Linked DNA regions of Drosophila melanogaster. The protein of the gene in region 2 interacts with the protein of the main gene of each other region in a pairwise test. Each region holds a gene or a part of one and is shown on either strand. Other genes may lie near its edges. The genes, in order: Pgant9, CG14568 and CG5618.

The links.
Region 1: the proteins of CG14568 (region 2) and Pgant9 interact in a two-hybrid assay, tested with the Drosophila melanogaster proteins (one large-scale study listed by BioGRID).
Region 3: the proteins of CG14568 (region 2) and CG5618 interact in a two-hybrid assay, tested with the Drosophila melanogaster proteins (one large-scale study listed by BioGRID).

What each region holds. Positions count from the first base shown.
Region 1 is NT_033778.4:16,730,811-16,734,567, forward strand, and holds the start of Pgant9 (polypeptide N-Acetylgalactosaminyltransferase 9), read right to left. Parts: upstream 2,107-3,757; 5' UTR 89-2,106; intron 1-88. UniProt on the Drosophila melanogaster protein: Catalyzes the initial reaction in O-linked oligosaccharide biosynthesis, the transfer of an N-acetyl-D-galactosamine residue to a serine or threonine residue on the protein receptor.
Region 2 is NT_037436.4:21,732,285-21,735,507, forward strand, and holds CG14568 (uncharacterized protein), read right to left. Parts: upstream 1,204-3,223; 5' UTR 1,169-1,203; coding exon 653-1,168; 3' UTR 522-652; downstream 1-521. Other genes in the region: CG14573 (uncharacterized protein), read left to right, coding at 1,847-2,425.
Region 3 is NT_037436.4:20,351,805-20,355,561, reverse strand, and holds the start of CG5618 (uncharacterized protein), read right to left. Parts: upstream 1,643-3,757; 5' UTR 1,337-1,642; coding exon 1,157-1,336; intron 763-1,156; coding exon 575-762; exon of another isoform or gene 433-574; intron 258-432; coding exon 1-257. Other genes in the region: eRF1 (eukaryotic translation release factor 1), read right to left, coding at 2,008-2,117.

The DNA.
Region 1 (3,757 bases), on a different chromosome or scaffold from region 2:
GTGAGTGGAAAAGGGACGGCATGCTGCCGGGTCGCGTGTTTACAAGCTCTTCTCCGTTAGTTCTAAAAAAAAAAAAAAAACAACTTACCCGCCTTTCGCTCTCCGCTTTGCTCCTTGATTCTGCTGTCAAAAATTCCCAAGTTCCAATTTCAATTCAGTTGGCAAGTTTCACAAAAAATTATACCCTGCGGCTGTTTTTTTTTTGTATGCTTTGATTTTTACTCAGTTGCTTTTTGAGCTATTTCGATTAGCATGCTTTAATTTGTGTATGAATTTTTCACACTATTAATTTGTAATTTCTGCTTATTTTTGCCATTTGCATATATGATTTCACACATTCAAAGAAACTTCACAGCTGACTGTGATTTGTGTTGCTGTTGTTGTTATTTCGTTATTTCATTATTTCACACACACAGCCAGACAGACACGCACACGCACACACCTCTGCGTAGGTGTGAGGAGTGGAAGAGGAAGAGAAATGCAACGGATTCACAATTCACCTTAGCACGCGCGCTCTCCCACTCGCACTTACGGACCGACCGCAACCTGCTGATTTGACGGTCAAAAATCGACTGAGTATTTCCCATTGGAGTTTTAGCCGGCAACAGTGGCTCGCAACATGTTCGCAGCCCCAGGTTCGATGTTCGAGTTGCAAGTGGGTGGGGGGGTTGTTGTGTGGGTCACTTCGCTCCTTCTGATAAACACTCGCTGATAAGCCCAGCACAGACACACACACAGAGACACACAGCAAGACTCTTTGTTGTTGCCCCAGACATTGTTGTTCTCAGCCTGTGAATGACAAATGAGCCCGTATACGCCAAATGGAATGGATATGGAATTTGAAATGGGATTGCAAGAGCGGTCCACCCTCATGGGTTATTAGGCGCGGGGGAGGAGACTGACGGAGACTGTCATGTCGCAAAAGACGGGATAAGAGTTTCCCAGAAGGTCCTCGCTTTTCATCCATGGAATGGCTGAGAAATCTGTTTAAATTCAAACAAACCAAAAAAAGAAAACAAAAATACGAAGCGAGGTTAACTAAACTAAAAACTAACTAATACTACTACTAACCTTTATAAATTTATAAATGCATATATTCAGAATGTCTCGGATGTGTTTAATGTGGGCTTCTAGTTAAATTGGTTAATATTATTATTATATGGTATATATATTATTATTTTTATATATACATACATACATATATACATATACATATTATATGATATACTAGCCTTTAGTTGCACTAACTTTCTTTAGCTTTTAATGGGCTCCGCTGGTCATCACTGTTGCAACATCGAACAAGCTCGTTCGCGACTCTTAAGCCGGCTGGCAACTGCAACTCGAACTGCAAGTCTAACGTGTTGGCCACTGCACTTGTCGTTGGCCATCTTCAAATCGGCTTGCACGTGGCTCATTTGCATATTGAAGTTGTTTGCCTTGTTTTTGCTTTTGCTGGGGGTGGGGATGGAATGATGAGGGCGGTTTAGCCGCAGGAAAGTAACCATATTTTTGTGGAAATTTAATAATGACTAATATTAATTAACTTTATTTAATTGAAATTTTTTAGAAGTTGGCGACAGAATCTATTTGCGATTGGCTACCAACATTCACTGCATTTTACATAGCAATTGTGATGTGTAAAGAACGGACCACGAAATTGACAATTTGCAACACCGACGGAAGCTGTTTTTCAATTGCTTCGCTTTGGCACCTCCCCTCCCTATTTTCCGCATTTTCCGCCCGCCGTTCGTTATGGACTTTTCATTGGTTTTGTTTGGCTCTTTCAATTGAAACATGGCCAAGTTTTGGGGCAGCATTGGTGGTGGATATTTGTGGGAACGTTTGGGAGAATGGGAGGACGACACCAATCAACTTTTTCCTCTGCGCCGCATTTTTCATTAGTTTTTCTTATACAGCGAAAAAGTTTTCTTGGCCTCAAAACGAGTCTCGTGTTTTTCACTGCTTGTTGTCATATATTGATAGCGCTCAAGTTTCTGTTTGCACAACTGCATTTGGCCATATACAATGCATCGCATTGCAAATATTGACGAACAAATGGATGAGCTAGTGTGATCATGTACAGCTTGATATTAAATACTTTCACCATAAAGCTAATAAATAGTATCAATATAACAACATTTTCAAGGCTTACGGAAGTTCGAAAAATTCCATTTAAGGTTGAAGTATTTCATGAAATTTCATTTATATATTTGCATTGTTTGTTATTATAGAATTTTCACTTTTTTCGCTTATTTAGGTTAATTAGGTCTGCTATTTCAATTGATGAAACCGTCCCCATTTTTAAAATGATGCTCGGTGCCCAAATTGCTGGAAAATGCCAATTTCAATACAGCTGTGCCACCTGTGATTTTGATTTGATGGCTGTTTTCGTTGGCGCTGCCAATTTGCCGACCAATTGAAAATGCAATGCACGCCCCAGACAAAAACTCATTTGCAACACTTCACGCAACGCCGGCGATTTCGATTTAGCCAAGATCAAGGGCGATAATGCCCGCAGCAGCAACGGCAGCAGCAGCAGCAACAACAGCAGCAGCAGATGCAACAACAACTGCTGCGGCAGCAACATTGGTTATATGTACATTACATTGCGTGCAACAGCGAGCTGCAGATATAAATAGCCAGCGGCAACAGCAACTTGGCCCTTATCCATTTTGGCTGATCTTTACGCACAGGAGGCACCGGCATTAACTGCCGCTGCAACATCTGCAACACAAACACAAGCTGCAACAACAACATTCCTTTCGACATTTAATTAACGATCGCGATTGCAATCAAAGCAGCTCTCCCACACCCCGATTTCCCCTTCCGCCACACCGTGTTTTGAATGGATCCTGGCCAGATTGCAGGTTTACTGGTGGCCAGTTACTTAGTTAGCCGGGCTAAGCTGACAAATACTGTAATTAATTTTAATTGCAGCGATTGGCGCTCGCTTTCCGTCTCATTACAGACTGCACTGCTCCCTTTTTGTTTTTTTTTTTTTACTACCGCCTTCAGCTGGCGTTGATTTTCGCTATGATAAACCCAACGATTCCGCAGTATGCCCTGGTATTCCCGCTCGCCATTCTTGGCTACGTGTTTTTACGCCTAATTGCTGGAAATGTCGCGTGGCAAATATTTTGTCGCCTTCACAAGGGCGCTCAATAAGCGAACAGCAAAAGCGAAAAAAAGGTGTATATTAATAAATACACTGGGACTGGGGGGTACATAAAAATGTATATTTATTACAAACAGATTCAAAAATCAAATAAACTTAAGCATAATATTTCGCTTAACAAACTAGTTAGTTAGCAGTTATATTTAAAAACCTATTTCAAAGCAATTTTAATCCCGTTTACATACTTTCATAACCTGATTATTTTTCCACTGTAGCTCCTCTCTTGCATATTTTGCAAACACTTGCACTTTGGTTTAATGGAGTATGGCAAGTGCAAAATGGAAATAAAAATGTTCATTTCTCGGGTCCCCGGAGGCTCCCAGACGAATAATCATATAAAACACTTTTCGTTTGCAGTTCATTGAGTGAGCACAAATCCAATTAGATTTTGACTCGGCTTAGTTAGGCAGCCCCGGACTCGCCCCTCAAATTCACTGGAAAGCAACCCGGAAAACACCCGAAAAACACACACATACACACACAAACACAAATGGAGTGCCGAAAAATCGTTGCATACTTTGCAGCAAAAAATGTTCTCAAGTCAATTTGCCTGCCATAACTGTTGACTCAAGTTTTGTTTCC
Region 2 (3,223 bases):
GATTAAGCTTACAGCTTACAGCTCACAGCTTCTAGAGAAACGCCCACTCTAACGCCCACGAACCACACAAAACTGCAACGCCCACACGTTTGCAAATTGTTTTGACATTTTGCATATTTTTATTAGTCTTGTAAATTTCTGTTGATTGACAAAAAAGTTTATGCAACGCATTTTATTCACCAATATCTATCGATATTCCAGGAAAAGTATGCAAGTTCGCGTTCGCATTTCCACTAGCTGAGTAGTTGGTATCTGATAAGCAGGGAAGCCGAATATAGGATTTCTTGTTTGATACTGCTTGGACAAGATTTTTAATAGATAATAGAGCACAGGGTAACTTGTAGTTGAGACTCCCGAATCACTTTTGTGATTTGATCCTGATTAAGAAAATAAGATCTTAATAGAAAAGCAAATGCGTTCATATATCTGTTAGCTCCAACAACAAATTAAATATGTTTTGCTTCACTAACAACAAGACAGACATATTTTGCAATTTTCAATTTATGACAAAAGGGTGGCTTGAATATTAACGCAATTATTTTATTATTTAAATTAAAATATTCAACAACAATTTATTTAGCGACAAAGTAATAAATGCATATCCTAATGAGTCGATTCCATTTGATTTCTAGCAAATTAGGGTTGACCCATTTCAGATGGTGTACACCAGAACTGATCCAGAGCGGATAATCTGAGCGGATCGAAGCTTCTCTGGGGTCGGACGACGACTGAGGAGGCGTTCGTTACGAGGCTGGATCAAGCCGGCGGGCACGGGATCGGCAGCAGGGGCCTGGTCCACTGGGCCATCAGCCGGCGGTCCATAGGTGTTTTCCGGCTCAGCAGGTGGTCCGTAAGTGTTATCGGGAGGGCCGTAGGTGTTGTCGGGCTCATCTGGGGGTCCGTAGGTAAGATCAGGTTGCGCTTCAGTCTCCGTGGGCAGGTCGAAGGGCACCTCCGGTGTCACTCCTGCTGGCGGATAAGGGGCTGAGGCCGGCGTAGGTGCAATATCCACGGCGGGGTCGGCCGGAACTGCCTGATCCCCTGGAGCCTGCTCCTGACGGGCAAACTGCAGGCGGGAAAATCGTCCCCGGAATCTGGTAGGCTCTGCAACAGAAACGGCAGCCATGGCTGCGATCAGGAGCAGGGAGCAGATGAACTTGTGGGCCATGTTGAGCTGCTGCTGAGTTGTCTTAGAATGTTGTCAGTGGCTGCCAGTTTCGCGCCTTTTATACCAACTGAAGTTTTCGGCCACTCGGGTATATTTGGCTCACCGAGGGACACCCTTTCGTTGGCCTACGGACGTGACAATATTTAGTCAAGGGCCCATGTCTAAGCCATAACCATTGGCCGTTAATTATAACCCGCGGGCACTTAACTTTGACACTTTACGTGGAACCACTGCGGATGAGGAATGGGTTGCAACCAAAGAAGTCGAACTAGTAACGAATGTCATTCGTTGACTTGTATGTTTTCTAACGTAATTCTATAATTTTATAAATATGTCATTACTTTAACTGAGCTAATGAATTTCTTTCTAACCTACTTCCCTTTTTATATACTAAGCATGTGGCCAATGGTCCACATGGGCATGGGCAACTAGGGCTATAGATCTGCTAGCACTTTAAATTCCACTCCACTGTGCGGCGCCTGCTTGACATACAATGCATACGCATTGATGGATTTCAAATCGCGGCGCTCTGCTTAAAATTCACGGCGTTGTTGGCTGGGCTAGAATCGCTGACCAGTGACCACCGATGAGCAGGGCCACCGCTGCGGCACTTGGAAGTATAAAAGTTAAAGCTCCATATACGACAGCAAACACAGCTCAACTGCTAGTCCCACGATCATGGCACGTTACCAGTTTTTCAGTTCGCTCCTCCTCCTGCTGGCGGCCATCAGCGCGGTGAATTGTGCGGCACAGGCACCACTTCGGCGGACTCTGCGCCTGCGTCCGGTGGCGTTCGCCCGGCAGGAGCTGGCTCCCACCCCCTACCCCTCGGCTGCTGAGCTTAAACCCGCCGCCGAACAGCCCGCGCTGACCTACGGACCTCCCGAGGATGTGGATACAGATGCCTTGCCTTCGGAACAGGATCCACCAGTGGACACCTTCGAGCCTAGCCCAGAGAACGAGGAGGTGGACACCGAGGAGAGCTCACTTGAGGCCACCACACCATCCTCTGCTCCGGCCCGCCTGCGCAGCCGCCATAGATTGGGCAAGTTGCAGCTGGCTAAGCCAAAGCTGCTCCGCCAACGCACAGCTCGCCTGGAGGAGCTGCCCGTGGATGCGGCTGTGGCTCCAGTGGCTTCGCTGGTTCCAGTAGCTCAGGCTCCAGCACTGGCCACGCCCCAGTTTTACTATGTGGGTGCCCAGCAGCCGTATTACCTGGCAGCCTACAGCGCTGCTCCCCAGCAACTAGGCTGGTAGTAACGCTAGTTGCCTTCTCTTAATTTGTTCTGTTTGGATTGCAATTTGTTGTTAAAAATATATTTCTGCTAATATGTTTAAAAATGGTTCGTCTGCTTGTTTTCCTTACATTTTAAGTAAACTCAGTCCAAAAAGTCTAAATAGAAACCAGTGATATGATAAGCGAAACTAATTAATAAATTAAATATCCCGACTCCAATATCAAACAAATAAGTTATCATTTACGTAAATAATTTAGTATTTCGTATTTAATCAAAACGTATTATGTGAAAGTAAGTGGAGAAGGGAGGATAATCAGCAGTGTGCTCATCTATACGTGTCAGTCCATCTGACTGTGTTATTTTGAATTATTAATAATTTATATTATTATTCAACATCTACCGATTGTCGAGAAATAATAATTGCATGAGAAATAATTGCTTTTAATGGTTAATATTAAATTGTCGAAATGGATGCAAATTTGTTTACACACAGCTCAAAGATTTCAGTTCTCTAAAATTCAGTGCAAGCCATTTGCCTTTAAGAAAAACTTATATCAGACCTATTCTGGACGAACTCCTGTTCGGAATTCTTTGCATATCCTTGACATGTGAATTGCCTCGGAAGCGTTTAAAGGGTTCCTTGTTCCCATCGCATACTTTTAGCGGATTTGTATGGTCTTTTGTGAAAGGCTTCCCATTTCCAATGCATTTTTAATGCTTTGTTTTATTCTAGTTATAGTGGCTGGGTCACCAGTGTAATGGCTTGCTAAGATATTTTTTAGTCTGCGCAATATGATTGGTGAATGGTGGCCTTTCA
Region 3 (3,757 bases), 1.4 Mb from region 2:
GCCAGTTGGCCGCCTTCACGAAGCTGTAGTGCGACTCGTCGGAGGTAAAGAGCACCAGCGGTCGCATTCCAAACATTCCAGACGTCTTCACCTCGGGCGCGATCTTATAGCGGGCCAGAACCATGCCGTACATGTTGGAGGTGGAGCCACCGGGCGCAAAGATGCCATCGCCTTCCTTGTATCCCGCTAACTTGCAGATGGTCGCGATCACCTCAGTTTCGATCAAGCTAAACACGGGCGCAACTTCGTAGGTGTATCTGAAACAAAAGTTTATTGTGTCTTGTTGGATACCTCGGTTAAAAGTCTGATTTTGGTAGTCCTATCTAGGAAATCTCATCTAAATGATTAATAACTTGCAATGATTGTGTATGAACTCTGCTTAATCCCCATTTAAATTAATCGAAAGGGGGGGGGGGGGGTTATGAAACATACATGTAGTACTTTGCAATCTCCATTACATAGCGCAATTATCTGTACGTTGAACCCCGACACCACTTGTAGATTGGAACACGAGATGCAATCAGCGGTCACTCATATAGACAAGACACATGTGTGGAATAAGGCGCAGACTTACGTGCTGCCGTTCATGGCCTCGGTGACCAGGGCTCCTGCCAGTCCAAACGGGTCCAGCTGGCCAAAGAGCTGATTGTGGAAGCGGCCGTGCGAGGTTTTCACAGAGTAATGGATCACCTGCTGGCACAGCTCCTCGATCTCCGCGAGCGAGCAGTTTTCCGTCTCTCGAACCTTCAGGTTAATCAGTTCCTGGAAGTGATGGTGCGAAATCATGTAATCTCAAGATTGTTATAGAACAGCGACTTTTGCAATAAGAAAGTATATTAAAGATTCAACATATTTCTAAAACGTTTTCTGTTTCGAACTAATAATATCTTTACCCAGAAAAAACCGACCATAATCTATGAAATAACAAACAATTCAATTATAATTAAAACTATCAGATACTAGCATGAGTGTGCTCAATCAGGAAGTGCTACTATCAATTGACTCACATTTCGTCGGGCAAGCCATAGTACAATTGCTACAATTTGCGGTCGGGTGGTCAATTTTCGAATGAACTCTTCCATTAATCAGTTCTCTGTTATCTCTGGTTATCTCCACATCGGCAGACGCCGAATCGTCTATCACTTGCTCCACTCACCTTAAGTTTGTCTGGCTGCAAAAAGGGGACTATCTTCTGCTTGTCCCATTTCTGGGGATCCACGCAGAAGGTATCCTCCTTCCGGAGAAGGTGGAATACGTTCTCCAGGATCTTCCAGTCGTCCATGAGGCCATCGCGAATCTGGTCAACAGTCTCTGCTCCATCCACTGATTCAGCCATACTACACTCGGTCGGTAGAAGTTTCCGTATCTCAATTGGCCAGTAAAAGGCTGATTATTTTTGGCTTTCGAGATCCGAACCTCTTCCGTCGACGATTCAATCAGAAGTGCCCCGTCCGACTGCAGCAGATTGTGTTTTAATGTTATCTTGATCAAATTCTCATCAAGTTGTAAACCCTCGTCTTCGCTCGCACTCAAATGGAAATACAAATGATCGGGGCTGTAAGAACACACATACACCTCCACGCTTGTGCTCTTTAGAGTGAACCTCGTTTTATTACGAAAGCGAAATAAAAGTGATATTAAAGTCGTGCATATTTAGGTTACTTAAACATACAATATATATCAATTAAGCACGTGCCTTATTAGCTGATTCGGCTTATCTCGTAACCAAAATCCTGCACAATTCGTTTTCTTTTCATCTCGACGCATTATCGTCAAATTCAATCGAAATTTGCATATTTACCCTATCGATTAAACAAGTTTCATGTGCATGCCACCAGAAAACTTGGTCAACTAATTGGATGCCCAACACCGCAGAACTTAGCTGAGCTTACTTTTTGGAAGTCTCGCTGCAATGATTACTTACAAATATTCAAACGAGTACGGATACCTGCACGACACTGCGGCTCAGAAACGAGTTTCAGCTCACCAGATGTATCTGAGCGATTCTTAGATGCAAATCAAGGGCGAAACAAGTACTACGAGTGCTTTTTGCTGTCGTCCACGTGCATTGCCAACTAATGAAGTGGGAATCTCGCAGTAAACTGTTTCCAGTGTGCCTGCAAATAGAAAGTAGAAAATGAAATGCCCATTTCACTTTACTTTCATTGCTGTACTGGTAGTACTCCAAGTGGCTACCAGCATTTTACTTATCCAGCAGATAGCAGAGTCGGAATTTTATCAGCTTTCGGTGCAAATTTCGTTTTCAAGCTATAATAGAACGATTAAAACTCACAGATACAATTCTCCTTGTACCCAAAAACTTTAGGAAACGTGGCGTATTGTCAATGTAGATTTAGATTTAGATTTATAGAGGAACAATTAATTATATAACAAGAGCTCTAGTCCCTCGAAAATATATTCAAATTGCAAATTTGTTCACGTAAAACGGTTGCATTTTAATATGTTTTCCTCGATTTAACATTTTATCGTTTGTATCTATATGCATTATTTAAAATTTTACTTTTTTCGCCAACAACGTAAAAATGGAAGAAGGTTTGTGTTTTCTCATATTATTTAAATATTCTATTTGATTTCCTGGATTCATATAGTTGTAGTTGCAGTTCAGTTTGCGGTCGAACGTAGTGGCAAATTCATTTCTACAGATACATTTCCTAGTAATCATCTAGATCGAAGCCATCATTGTCCAATTCATCGAGCTGCATACTCTGGAAATCCACCTTGTAGCGTAAGATACCTGCAGAGGCACACCCAGCAATTGAATTAAATTAAAATAAGAAACAAAAAAAAAAAAAAAATAGAAGAACAGAAGCTGATTGAAAATTGAAAAATAAATGAAGAGGAAAAAACAAAAGGATCAACACACAGGATAGTTCAACCGAAACTCAGATTCTCACCTCCTTTGTATCCACATTTAACTTTTCATACACTAAATAAAATATTTGTTGTACTTCGCGACTGAATATAAACGGATACCCCATCCTCATTGTGTGGTGTTTTTATTCTGGTTTAATTTTTATTACAATTTTATGGATTAGATTTGTATACTTTCTTATAACACTCGGCTATAATTTGAATAGGGGAAATGCAGATACGTTCGAAAGTGGCATGTGGCAGTTAACCGAAGATCTTTTGCTCCTAATACCGCAGTCGAAATCGAACCAGATGAACGGAGAATGCGCTAATATCTATCGCATCGCTTTTACATGACCATTGAAATACAAATTACGAATTACGAGTACGAAATACGAATTTAATATGCTGCTTAAAAGTACGCGATTCCGCCTGGTGCACGACTAATTAAAAAATTTGGTAAAACGTATAGGTACATATCTAGATGCACGCTGATCTGATCGACAAGGGAATGCACCATCCGACTGATGAGAGGGACCCTATTGGTGATAAATATTGAACGGCTACGCTGAACATAGGTAAAACTATGTGGCAAGTAAATTGGTTCCTAATCAATTTGAACGTTTTGCTTTACGAGGTTTCCCAAAAAGTACTGGTTTATTATGTATGTAACGCATAATCGAGACCCATTCGCAGCCCACCCTTAACAGGCTTAATAGTCATCGAGATCGACATCCTCCAGCGGCTCATCGGCCTGTAGGGATTGGAAATCTACTTTATAGCGCAAAATGCCTACATATCGAATTGAGGTACCAGTTTGCAAATTAACATTTACATTATAGCGTTGACGACCGTGTGAAAGCAGCATGAGGGAAGAGGAATGGAT